Linked DNA regions of Drosophila melanogaster. The protein of the gene in region 2 interacts with the protein of the main gene of each other region in a pairwise test. Each region holds a gene or a part of one and is shown on either strand. Other genes may lie near its edges.

What was found.
Region 1: the proteins of CG31029 (region 2) and CG14383 interact in a two-hybrid assay, tested with the Drosophila melanogaster proteins (one large-scale study listed by BioGRID).
Region 3: the proteins of CG31029 (region 2) and Cen interact in a two-hybrid assay, tested with the Drosophila melanogaster proteins (one large-scale study listed by BioGRID).

The regions. Positions count from the first base shown.
Region 1 is NT_033777.3:12,986,742-12,990,155, forward strand, and holds CG14383 (uncharacterized protein), read right to left. Parts: upstream 1,771-3,414; 5' UTR 1,758-1,770; coding exon 759-1,757; 3' UTR 744-758; coding exon of another isoform or gene 692-743; 3' UTR 635-691; downstream 1-634. Other genes in the region: CG31342 (uncharacterized protein), read left to right, coding at 47-615, 692-743, 1,865-3,283, 3,395-3,414.
Region 2 is NT_033777.3:30,130,796-30,134,549, forward strand, and holds the start of CG31029 (uncharacterized protein), read right to left. Parts: upstream 1,601-3,754; 5' UTR 1,419-1,600; coding exon 985-1,418; intron 923-984; coding exon 1-922. Other genes in the region: Tpi (triose phosphate isomerase), read right to left, coding at 2,447-2,653, 2,715-3,299, 3,484-3,738.
Region 3 is NT_033779.5:20,680,228-20,683,981, forward strand, and holds the start of Cen (centrocortin), read right to left. Parts: upstream 1,620-3,754; 5' UTR 1,392-1,619; exon of another isoform or gene 1,307-1,391; 5' UTR 1,266-1,306; coding exon 1-1,265. Other genes in the region: CG2617 (uncharacterized protein), read left to right, coding at 2,222-3,046.

The DNA.
Region 1 (3,414 bases), about 17 Mb from region 2:
TTAAGATTGCACCACTTACAGCTCACTTTCGCTTTTTTATTCGCAGGGAGATTATGCAAGAGTGGGTGGAAACGCTGCGCTCCAAGCTGCGCGAAATGAAGATTCTGTCGCCGCGCGAAAACCTCTACACGAAGCTACCTGAAGTGCGCGCACCGTTGCTGCCCACGCGGGATCCCACATCGCCACTGCCACCACCTCCTCCAGTTCCGGCGGCTCTGGTACCGGGCGTCGAGCGTGTGGTGGCACCCAGCCATCAGGCTCCGCCAGCACCACCTCCTGAGCCACCAACAAGTCCAGTGCCCACCACACCTGCACCTCCTGCCCCTGCTCCCGCTGCCATGTCCAACACTTTAACGCAGCACCTCCTCAACATGCTCTCCGATCCCATAAGCACCTACAGCGAGCAGATCAGTGAGTCGGTAGAGTCAGCCTCTGGTCAGGAAGATGTTGCTGTAGCTGAGGAACCTCCAGCGGAGCAACCGACCACTAGTGATGCCGATTTGAATCTCTCGGATGACGAATACCTGTCGCCCTTGCTGCGCAAGGCATGTATGCTTACCGAGAATGGAGCTCGCGTTGACGTCGTGGTGGTCACTGGACAGCGCGTTTCTGCCGGTATGAATATTTTTTATATAACCTAAATATATTTAATTTTTACTCTAACATTACAAAATATAACCTAAAATTGTAGATCAAGTCCTAAATTTGGAGCACATTCTGCAATGCGAACGACTGATTCCCAGGTGAGTGAATCCATCCTACAACATCTCGTTCATAAGCTCGTAGTTGTGCTGCAGGAACTTGAGTACTGCCTTCTTGGTGCTCGCTTTGCCCTTAAAGGTGGCCTTGAACAATTTTCGCAGGACGGCTAGATATCTCATGGCACTGAGGGTGAGCTCGTGGCTCTCGGCATCCAATTTCATGCCCAACACATTTTTGTATCTCTTGCTCACCTGGGCTTTCAGATTGTCAAAACTTTGGCTTGCCTCCTCCATCAGAGGAGCACGCTGCTGTCGCCGGTAGTGATCCATGTGGGCATGTAGCAAGGTTTTGAAGAGTTCGTTAAAGTGCTGCACCTGCTGGTGGTCTGATACGTCTTCGCAGAAAACACTGAACATGGTGTCAAAAAACATCGCCGGATCCTGTCCATTGCATAGTCTTTTTAGGGCGCTGATTGAGGAGCAGGCGAAATTTCGCTTCAGATATCGGTTCTCCTTGTCCAGCATGTAAATCTGATCATTTATCCTTTTAATGGCATGTTTGTCCGCCGCGCGTTTCACCTGCAACTTATCGATCAGACATTGAAGCTCCATCGACTCCTTGGTTAGTGCAGCGTTTTCTTTGACCAACCTACGATTGGCCTCCACTATATTCTCGCATGAACTAAAAGAAGACTGTTCCTCCTCATTCAAACTTTCATCAAATTTGCAGCATACAACATCTTTGCCGATTGCGGGATTCGGTTTTAGGCTCATTTGGTGAAGAGTGCGCAAATCCAACTGGAAACTGCCCGGCCACGTAAATGGATAACCCAACGATTTGTGATCATTGAGTTGTTTATGAAGGAGCAGTAGCATATAGTTTCTGGAAAAGCGTTCCTTCGGCGTTGACTGCTGGAAGATGTTGAGCCATCGGGTGCATGTGGGCACAATGTTATCTTTATCGGGCAGCATGTCCACCAGTTTCACCACACTGACAACCTCCTGCACAAATAGGTCATCTAGCTTCTCCTCTGTCAAAGAAAACGGTTTGGCCATGTCTCCAAGATTTGTTTATATCAAACTGGCTTGTGATTTAGAAATCAGCCTACTATGACGTCAGCATTCTTTATCAAATATTAAAATGTATTCCTGTTTTCTTTTAGACCGCAAACATCGCGATCCATGTCAGCTGGAGCGGCAGACAAATCAAAGCGACCGCAACGCAAGCCCCTCCAATCCCAATCTTCGAGCGCCGCTCCTACGAACAGTGCGGACTCTCAGGACAACATCACAATTATCCAAGTGTCGAATACCGCCAACAGTGGCCAGGAACATCCACCCGAACTGCCGCCCAAGAACACCACCACCGCTGAGGTGTTTCGATTCCCTGAGGTTAAGAGCAAGCCCCAGACTAATGCCAAGCAGCAGCCAATCCAGACCCATCACGAGTATAAAAGCAACGTACAAATCATTCCGTCCAACGCCAGTAGCAGTACCAGTACCATTCAAGTCCTTGGCAAACAGTCCAGTAGCAGCAATCCGTATACAACGCCCGTTAAGCAAAGCTCGTCCAATGGCTCCAGTTCACAGGTGTCGGGCACCACGAAAGTAAAGGTGTTGGGTGACGGAGACGCAACCACCAAGGTGGCTGTCTACGGCACCTGCTATCCAGCGGCCGGAGGAAGTGCACCCAGTTCTTCCGCAGCCTCTTCCTCTGTTAATCCTGCCAAGCCGCAGACGCCCAGATTAAGTAAAAAGATAATACTCAGTGCCAACACCTCGGGCATTACGAATATTAGCGTGAATACAGAACAGGGCAGTGACTCCATAATCAGTGGTAATATCCACTACGAGAAGGTCTTCCTTTCCTCCAGCATTCCGATCACCAGCAGAAGCAGTCCCACAAGAGTGGCAAACACGAATACCACACAGCCAGTGACTAATGGCAGTCCAGCTTTGCCACGTCGTCGGTTGGCTTCGCCGGCAACGGCGCAACCAGTGACCCCCAATGCAGCCGGCAGGGCGACGCCGCAGTTGACCCGAGGACTAACCGAACTGGTCATTAGTTCGCGGCCAAGTAGAAGGGATTTCCACTACCTAAAGCTGTTGAACACGCCACTGAAAACGAAGACATCGCACAAGTCAACCAGCGCCGCGAATAACAACATTGAACAATCCACGCCTTCCAGCTCCAATAGTACCCAAGTTACGCCAACGCAAAGGAATAACACCTCGATTGTAACCGGTGACAGCCAGGAGCAGCGGCGACGCAGTTCGTCCACATCCGATGCCCAGGCTCCACTTCAGCGGGTCCCTCAGCCCGCAACGCAGCGTAACGCTAACAATAACGAGTTTACGCCATCCCGAAACGGAGCCTTTCGTATGCAGCCACCGCCACAGGGAACACCTCCGTCAAGCACCAATCCCGCCCAGCAGTCGCCCAACAAGCGATTGACTTTGCGGGAGCAGCAAGTGATGCAGCTGCGTCGCGAGATTATGCATCCTGGAGGAGTGCGACTGAATCTAAGGCGCAAGGACTGCGTCGGTTCCATCGCTTGGGTAGAAGCCTTCGGTGGCGTTTGGTAAGTTAGAGAGAACTTCGTATCATCTCCACGGTGATTGTATGTAGACCGAATTATATTTGGAAATTGTATAAGCAATTGGTATGATTCACTAACTAGTTGTGTTTACAGGATTGCAGGCTGGAAGCAGA
Region 2 (3,754 bases):
TGGGAGTGGCTCAATCTTGCACTCATTTTCCTTAAAAAAGTTGTCGCAGAGCTTCCGGATGCGGCATCGAGTGCAGGGTTTCCCGCCCAAGCAGCCACATTGCTGCGGAACATTGGGATCATCCTTGTTCTTGTCGCCCATGGCTTCATCATCACCTTTGGACGGGTCCAGTTCACAGGTCTCCTTGCGCAGGCAGTCCCTTAGCAATTGCTGGGCAGTTGCCGTAAGATCGTAGGGCTGCTCGCTGGGCTGTATGTCCTCGAAGGTTTTGTAGCCACAGTAGGGACAGGCGGAGATCTTGGGCAGCCAACTGATGTCCGAACGGCAGAGCTGGCAGAGATTCGGTGGCTTGTAGGCCTCCTGTGTTAAAACAGGCTCTTTTACAGGACAGGTGCCCATGAGTCTTCGACGAGCAGCCCGCTCCATGGAGGCAGTCAAGGATATGGCCTTTCTCTTTCTAGGAGGCTTTTCCGCTGTGAACTCATTGGTGTCACAGGAGGAAGTATCTGTGCTGGAACTCGGCTGCTTGCACTTGCAATGCCAACGACGGGACTTTTCGTGTGTGTCTGGAGGACTGGGTACTTTTATCTCGTCTAGACCCAGTTCATCGACGAGCTTCTTCAGAGCGGCCTTTTCTCTCTTTTTCTCCGTGCCAACATCCGGAGGTAATTGCATTCCTTTCAGGAAACACCCACATCTGGCAAAGGCACCGCCTTTGTTATCCTGATCCTCCTGATTCTGACTTGCGGCGTGTGGACATTGGAAGGGTGCTCCCGCGTGCGACATCAGGCGCTCATCCGTGATGCAGCTGTTCGTTGCACACTTTCCGGAGCGTCCCAGGGTGAAGATAATATCCTTTTTGTTGATCGAATGATCCACAGGCTTGCACACGTCATAGCAGCCAAAGGGAATCAAGCCGTGGCTAGAGAGGATTGTGATTTAATAGGAATACTACATTTCCCCTATCTGGTTAACACCACTTACTTTATATCCGGTGAAGCGGAGCTGATCTTTAGGAGTAGCTCCACCTCACCCACTCGGTCGTTCTTAGGCCCTTTGGTCAGTTGAACTGTAACACTCTGGGTAACCGAAAAGCTGGGGTCTGTCAGCTGGCGCAGGATTGAAGATTCCAGCGTGGCGTTGCCCGATCCTATGAGCTCGTCGTTCTCTTTGAGAGTGACGCCTACGCCCTTGGATGTCAATGCTCCTATTAGCTCACAGGGACTGCTGGTAAAGCCACCCAATGCCTCTGTGGGAAACTGATCCACGAATATGCGTTCCATGGACAGCTCCTCAAAGTCCTCGAACAATCGAACCGAGTAGACGGGCCTCCCACCCGCACTGAAACTGGCGGACTTGCGGGGAATCGGCAAACTGGAGTTCACAAGGATAACGTCAAAGACATAGTACTGCGTCATGTTGATCTTCTAGGGAAACTATCGCTAAAACCAAGTTAAAATTTTCTTTACTCTCTAAAGATTTGGCTAAAAACTTATTTAATTTGTTCTGATATAAAACTCCAGTCTGAATAAAATCGATGTGTTCAGGATCAGAAATGACAATAAAAAGCTCAAAAACGGAGAACTAGAGCTTGTCAAATCGATAATGTATCTAAGGCCACTTGGGTTCAAGAATTCTCAGCCTGTTCATGTTTTGAGAAAAACTGAATAATATTTTGTTGATTTACTAACCATAAATTACTTACTAAGCTAAATAACTTATCAGCTACAAAGAAATTGCCTTGTTTAGCTCCATATTTGCCAAACTTTGTGCACAATCTTCGAACACTTCGATTAGAAATGAACTCTGAGTATAAGTATAAAGTATAATAAGTACAAACTGTTTTCCTTTCTTATCTCAAGTTAAGCTATCTTATGATGCATTGCTTCTTCTTGAAGGCTTTTATGCAAGATATTGTCAAAAACATGATGCAAATGATTTGATTCACTTGTTAGGTAAGTGAATACAATGATTGCCTCGATTACTCAGTTGGAACTCATATTCCAAATATTTGCCATTTCGCATGCTTATCAGAAATTAAGTAATAACTTGTTCGGTTTAAGGTCCGCAGAGGTGACACATATATGTACATATGTGCACACAACTTTGGACACCTTGTCGTTCAACCAATCGCTCTAAAAATAGCTGAAATAGTCTTGCAAAAAATAAGACACCTGTTTGGTTTGGTATATAAGTAAATGAGTAGCGCATAATTATTGCCTGAATAATTTAAGATTTACACAATGGACTACTATACGTTCAACAACAAGGATGTGAGTAGCATTCTCGCAAGGTAACTATGAATTTGGAACTGCACTTGGTGGTGACAACAACTAGGTGTGTGCGTAATGCATTCGCGCGCAGGAGTATGGAGTCCTGCCCTCCAGTGCCTCCTTCGCGGGCAGTTCGCTGGCCGAAAGCGATCTGATGCTTGAGATCGCGTTGCTTACTGCCGGGCGTTGATGATGTCCACGAACTCGGGCTTCAGGGAGGCGCCTCCGACCAGGAAGCCATCTATGTCGGGCTTCTTGGCCAGCTCCTTGGCGTTGGCGGCGGTCACGGATCCACCGTACTGGATGCGCAGGCTGGCGGACACCTCCTTGGAGATGTTGTCGCTCAGCCACTGGCGCAGGAAGGCGTGGACCTCTTGAGCCTGCAATTGGGAAGGGAAAATATCAGTTCTGGAAGAGATTAGCCTCTGCGGGCGACCTTACCTGATCGGGTGTGGCGGTCTGGCCGGTGCCAATGGCCCAGACGGGCTCGTAGGCCACCACCACGTTCTTCCAGTCCTTGATCTTCTGGGCGTAGGCGCACATTTGGCGGGCCACCACCTCGTTGGTCTTGCCGGCCTCGCGCTCCTCCAGGGTCTCACCAATGCAGGCGATGACCTTGAGGCCCTCGGCCAGGGCGTGCTCGGCCTTCTCGGCGATCAGGGCGTCCGATTCGCCGAAGATGGCGCGACGCTCCGAGTGTCCCAGGATCACCCAGTCGGCGCCGATGTCCTTCAGCATCGCAGGGGAGATCTCGCCGGTGAATGCGCCCTTGGCCACCTTGTAGGCATTCTGGCCGGCCAGACCCAGCTCGCAGGGCAGCAGGTTGCGGGCGTACATCAGGTAGATGGCCGGGCAGCCGATGACCACCTCCGTGTTGGGGTCGAGGGCGGCCGAGCTCAGGGTCTTGGCGATCTCGGCGATGGACTTCTGGTCGCCGTTCATCTTCCAGTTGCCTCCCACGCAGAACTTTCGGCTCATGTTGTTGCTGTTGCTGTCGGTGCAATCGGTGCTGAAATTGGCGTAGAACTGCGGATCGGGGGACAAAACAAGGGGACTGCTATTAGAGTGTTTGGAACTGATAATTTCAAGTGGGTAACTCGATGACTGGAGGCTCGCCGTCGACTTTTCCACTCAGATTTTTCCCAGATTCGAGATTAATCCCGGCACAGAGCACACACCCACCTCGAAGTTCGTCTGCTTATGTACTAACCTTCTTTTGACCTTCGTAAGTCTTCCACTGGCACTTGAAAAGCTTTGGGAAAACAGCTGTGAATTTGCCCAGCAGAGCTTCCGAAACGACGGCTTTTAGTACCTCCGCCGTAACACCACCCACAGTGGGTCGGTTCTGGTCCATGGTGGGGATGGTGTGGTGGTTCCGATGATACGGGAATCGCTGGAGAAGCGTTACTGATGCAATGCACTGGATACCGTTCCTGTTCAGATCATTGAGTACTCCAGGCGGCATTTCTATTGTGGTTACA
Region 3 (3,754 bases), on a different chromosome or scaffold from region 2:
TCCGAAAACTCGGTTGGAGTGCGCTTACGTGTTGAATCCAACATAAGGTCAGATTCCTTTGAGCTGTTAACAATTGTTTCTGATTTTTTGCCTTGACTGGACTCGGTCATGGTCTTCCCATCTGGATTGCTGGTGAAGTTGCTCTTGACCGCATTCGAGGTTCTCTTCACCTCCACCAGAGCTTCATATTTCTCGACTAGGTCCCGATAAGGATTTGGTTTGTCGCTAGAGTTGGGATTGAGGTCCTCGGGAATCCGGAAGCGTTCCTTATAATCCGCACCACTATTATCGCATTTCGAGGTGCTTTCGCTTAGTATGCTGCGATCGTCATCTTCGTAGATTTCTTCGGTTGGGGCAATGGAGGATTGATCATCCATATTGGTGTTGCTTTCGTTAATATCCCTCAGGCAGCGACTACACATTTGGCCTTGTCTCACGTCGTCCAGGAGGCTGAACTCCTCGTGCATCGACATTGTTCCCTCATTGGCACTGTTCTCCAGCAGACGTGTCTGCAGACCTTGGTTGTCTTGGATTATGGTCACCAACTGCTCCTCCAGCTCGGTGCACCGCTGCTGTTCGGCCAAGAAGTCACGTTTTAACACCTCCATTTCGCTGAGCAGCTTTACCAATTCCTCGTTGTCTTCACCCTTAACGGCGGTCCTCTCGCACATGGTGGCATTACTGAAGGAGATATCCTCCAATCCTGTCGAGTTCGCTATGGCCATAACATCTAGTTTGGAGAACTCAACACTCTGCTCCTTGCACAGCGATTGAATGCTGTGACTGGACACAGAACCCTCGGTCGAATGCTGCATCCTATAGCGTTCCTGCTGGTACTGATCCACCTTCCGCCGCTCGGTGCTCAGGGATTGCCGAGCATCGCTCAGAAGTTGACTCAGTTCCTCGCAGCGGGCTTCCAGGACTTCCGTGTTGGTGGTCAGCGTCTTAATCTGCTTCTTGTCCCGATTCTTCTCCAGATTTAGCCGCTGATTGGCACGCTCCAGATCCTGAATGCCCACTTCCAGCTGCTCGTAGACCTTAAGCCGTGAATCATTCACCTCGGTCATCGCATTAATGTGCTTGCGCAGATGCAAGATCTCCAGTTCCTGCTCATCCCCCTTAATCTTGTACTCCTTGATGAAGGTTTCCAGCTCCTTATTGCGTTCCAGGAGCGTTTTTCCCAGCTCTGCTGCCAATTGTAGGTCATCGAGCATGAACTGCGATACGTTTTCACAGCCAGCCGAACCGTGATTGGATTCCTCCATCTTGGACTTGGACCTTTCTAAGCTTGGGCTTGATGCGAACTCTGGCGAAAATTTAAAGATTTAATCGATTTTAGTTCATTTAGCAGCAGAGCTTTGTGAGCAAAGCAAAACTCAAACAGTAATTACTTGGCAAATGTCCTCTCAATGGTGGAAAACTGCTACAACAGTAACTTTTTTACTGTTTCATCCCCAAAAACAAAAAGTATGGTATTGCAGCGAGTGCAGAAAAAGCCCTACGTACTAGGGCGCAACTGCATGTACGAATAGTTAATTAATGCTTTTTATTATACACAATCGACCTGCAGACAAAGAACCGAAATGAACTTCCTAGCAGAACCGGAAATAAATTTATAATAGGATTATTCGCATTAGGGGGATTCCTGCTCAGATAGGGCTATGATTTAAGCTCGCCTTTCTTATATAACCCCTCGCGAGTTGTTTGGGGAAACCTTGTTGGATTCTGAAATACCAGCAAAATGCACGGATGTATAATTATATTTTTGAGCTTTCATTGTCTTTGAAAGAAGCATGCAATATCATAATAGATCAGTACATGAATACCCATATTAATTATTACGCATATTTATAGTTGTCAAAATTAATAAATCCAAATTGTTATGTCTCCTTAGTAATTCCTTTGCTCACAGAAGCAAAATATTTGTTTGAACATTATTAATTTAAGTTACCCTAGAATTTGGCGTATTTAAAGTTCAGATACCATCTAAGTTTAAATATATCTAGGAAGTGCAACCGATAATGTGTGGGGTGTTAAAAATAAATATATATATTAATTATACAAATATTTAAGATAAGTAATTATTTGACGCTACCTTATCGCAACGATAGCTTGGCTTTAATTACCAACCACCGCCTGGTCACACTAAGCGGCCGGCGTTCTTGTTTTGATTTTGTGTTTCTTCCTTTTCTTAATTCGAGGACAGTATGAGCCCCCCGCCATGCTGGACGCTCTAATTCGGGCAGCGGAGCTTGTGGATCTGGTCCTGCTGCGTCCGCTGGCCAGCGTGATTGATGCAGTGATTACTGGCGTGTACTACTTCCTGTGGGGCAGCTACCTCGTCGGCTTCTGTTTGGTGGAGGGCAGCAGGAAAGGATGGAATCTGTTGAGATGCGCGGTCAGGAATATCAACGAGGGCATCCGCGACTTGGGCCTCATCACGCTAGATGTGGCGGACTACTTCTACGGCGGCACCAAAGGCGGGCTCAAGAATGTACTCGATTTTGGTCACTGCATATCCCGATTCATCTGCAACTTACTCATCGATCTGGGTGATGGCATCTTGTGGCTGCTGATGCTGCTGCCGAGGGCCATACTATTCCTCTGGGACTGCCTCCTAGACTTTGTGGTGCACTCAATCGTGGCCCATGGCTTGAGCTTGCTGAACAGTGCGTTCCGGGCCTCGATAGGATTGGCCCTGCTCCTCGTTCTCTATATGTTCCGCCGCTATGTGTACCTGATGCTCATCTACCTGCTGCAACGTGGACGCATTGAAATCTCGACGAAGACGCAAAGCGTTTACCTATGGACCCATCATAAATTGCAACACTTCATACACAATGTTTGGTATGTGTCAGAGAACGCAGGATCCGCGAGTCCAGAACGCTGTGTCGTGTGCATGGCTCAAAGCAGGAACGTAGTAGTCATGCCATGCCGGCACCTCTGCCTCTGCAAAGAGTGCTCCCTGCAGCTCGTGCTCCTTTTAGAAGACCGCTGTCCTGTCTGCAGGCACAACATTACGTCGTTCCTGTCAGTTTACGTTTGATATATAAGACTGCCAATTGGAATTTAACTTATAAGTAATTATGATTCTCAGAAGTTAACCAAATGTCTTTGGTTAAGACACTTGTAATAGAAAAAACAAATAATCTTTACAAAGCAGAACAGACAAAACATTTTAATGCAGCTTTCAATTCCCAGACACCTAAAATATCAAGTAAAACAAGTTAAATTGTTTTATGTATTTATTTCAAACCAATGAAAATATACGATTTGTTTTGTATACATTTATGTAAATACGGTTTGGTTTTGCGTATAACTAATTTGCTCAAAAGACAGATATAGAAAAAACGTTTGTTTTGGGCTTACATCGTTTAAGTATATATAATTAAAGATTAAATCGAAATGAAATGATTCGCTTTGCTTGTTATCGTATTGCAGAGTTAATTGAATTGCAAGTTATAGTTCTTCCATCATAACACTTATATGATTTGGGTTCTTAACTGGTAAATGAAACGATCAAATAAGAGTAAATTACACAACTGGCAATATAGCATTGGTAGTACCGATGTCTATCAGATAGACATTTGTGATAGCGTCTATAGGTTTCACCTCTCTTTCTGCTTTCTGCATTTCTAGTAGTAGGCGCATAAGTGGGCTGGATATACATAGCTAATGTACATACATAGCTTAGGTTATCTATTGTGTGGTTGGGGGTGTAGTGGGAAATAGCGCCCGATGTACCGATTGACGC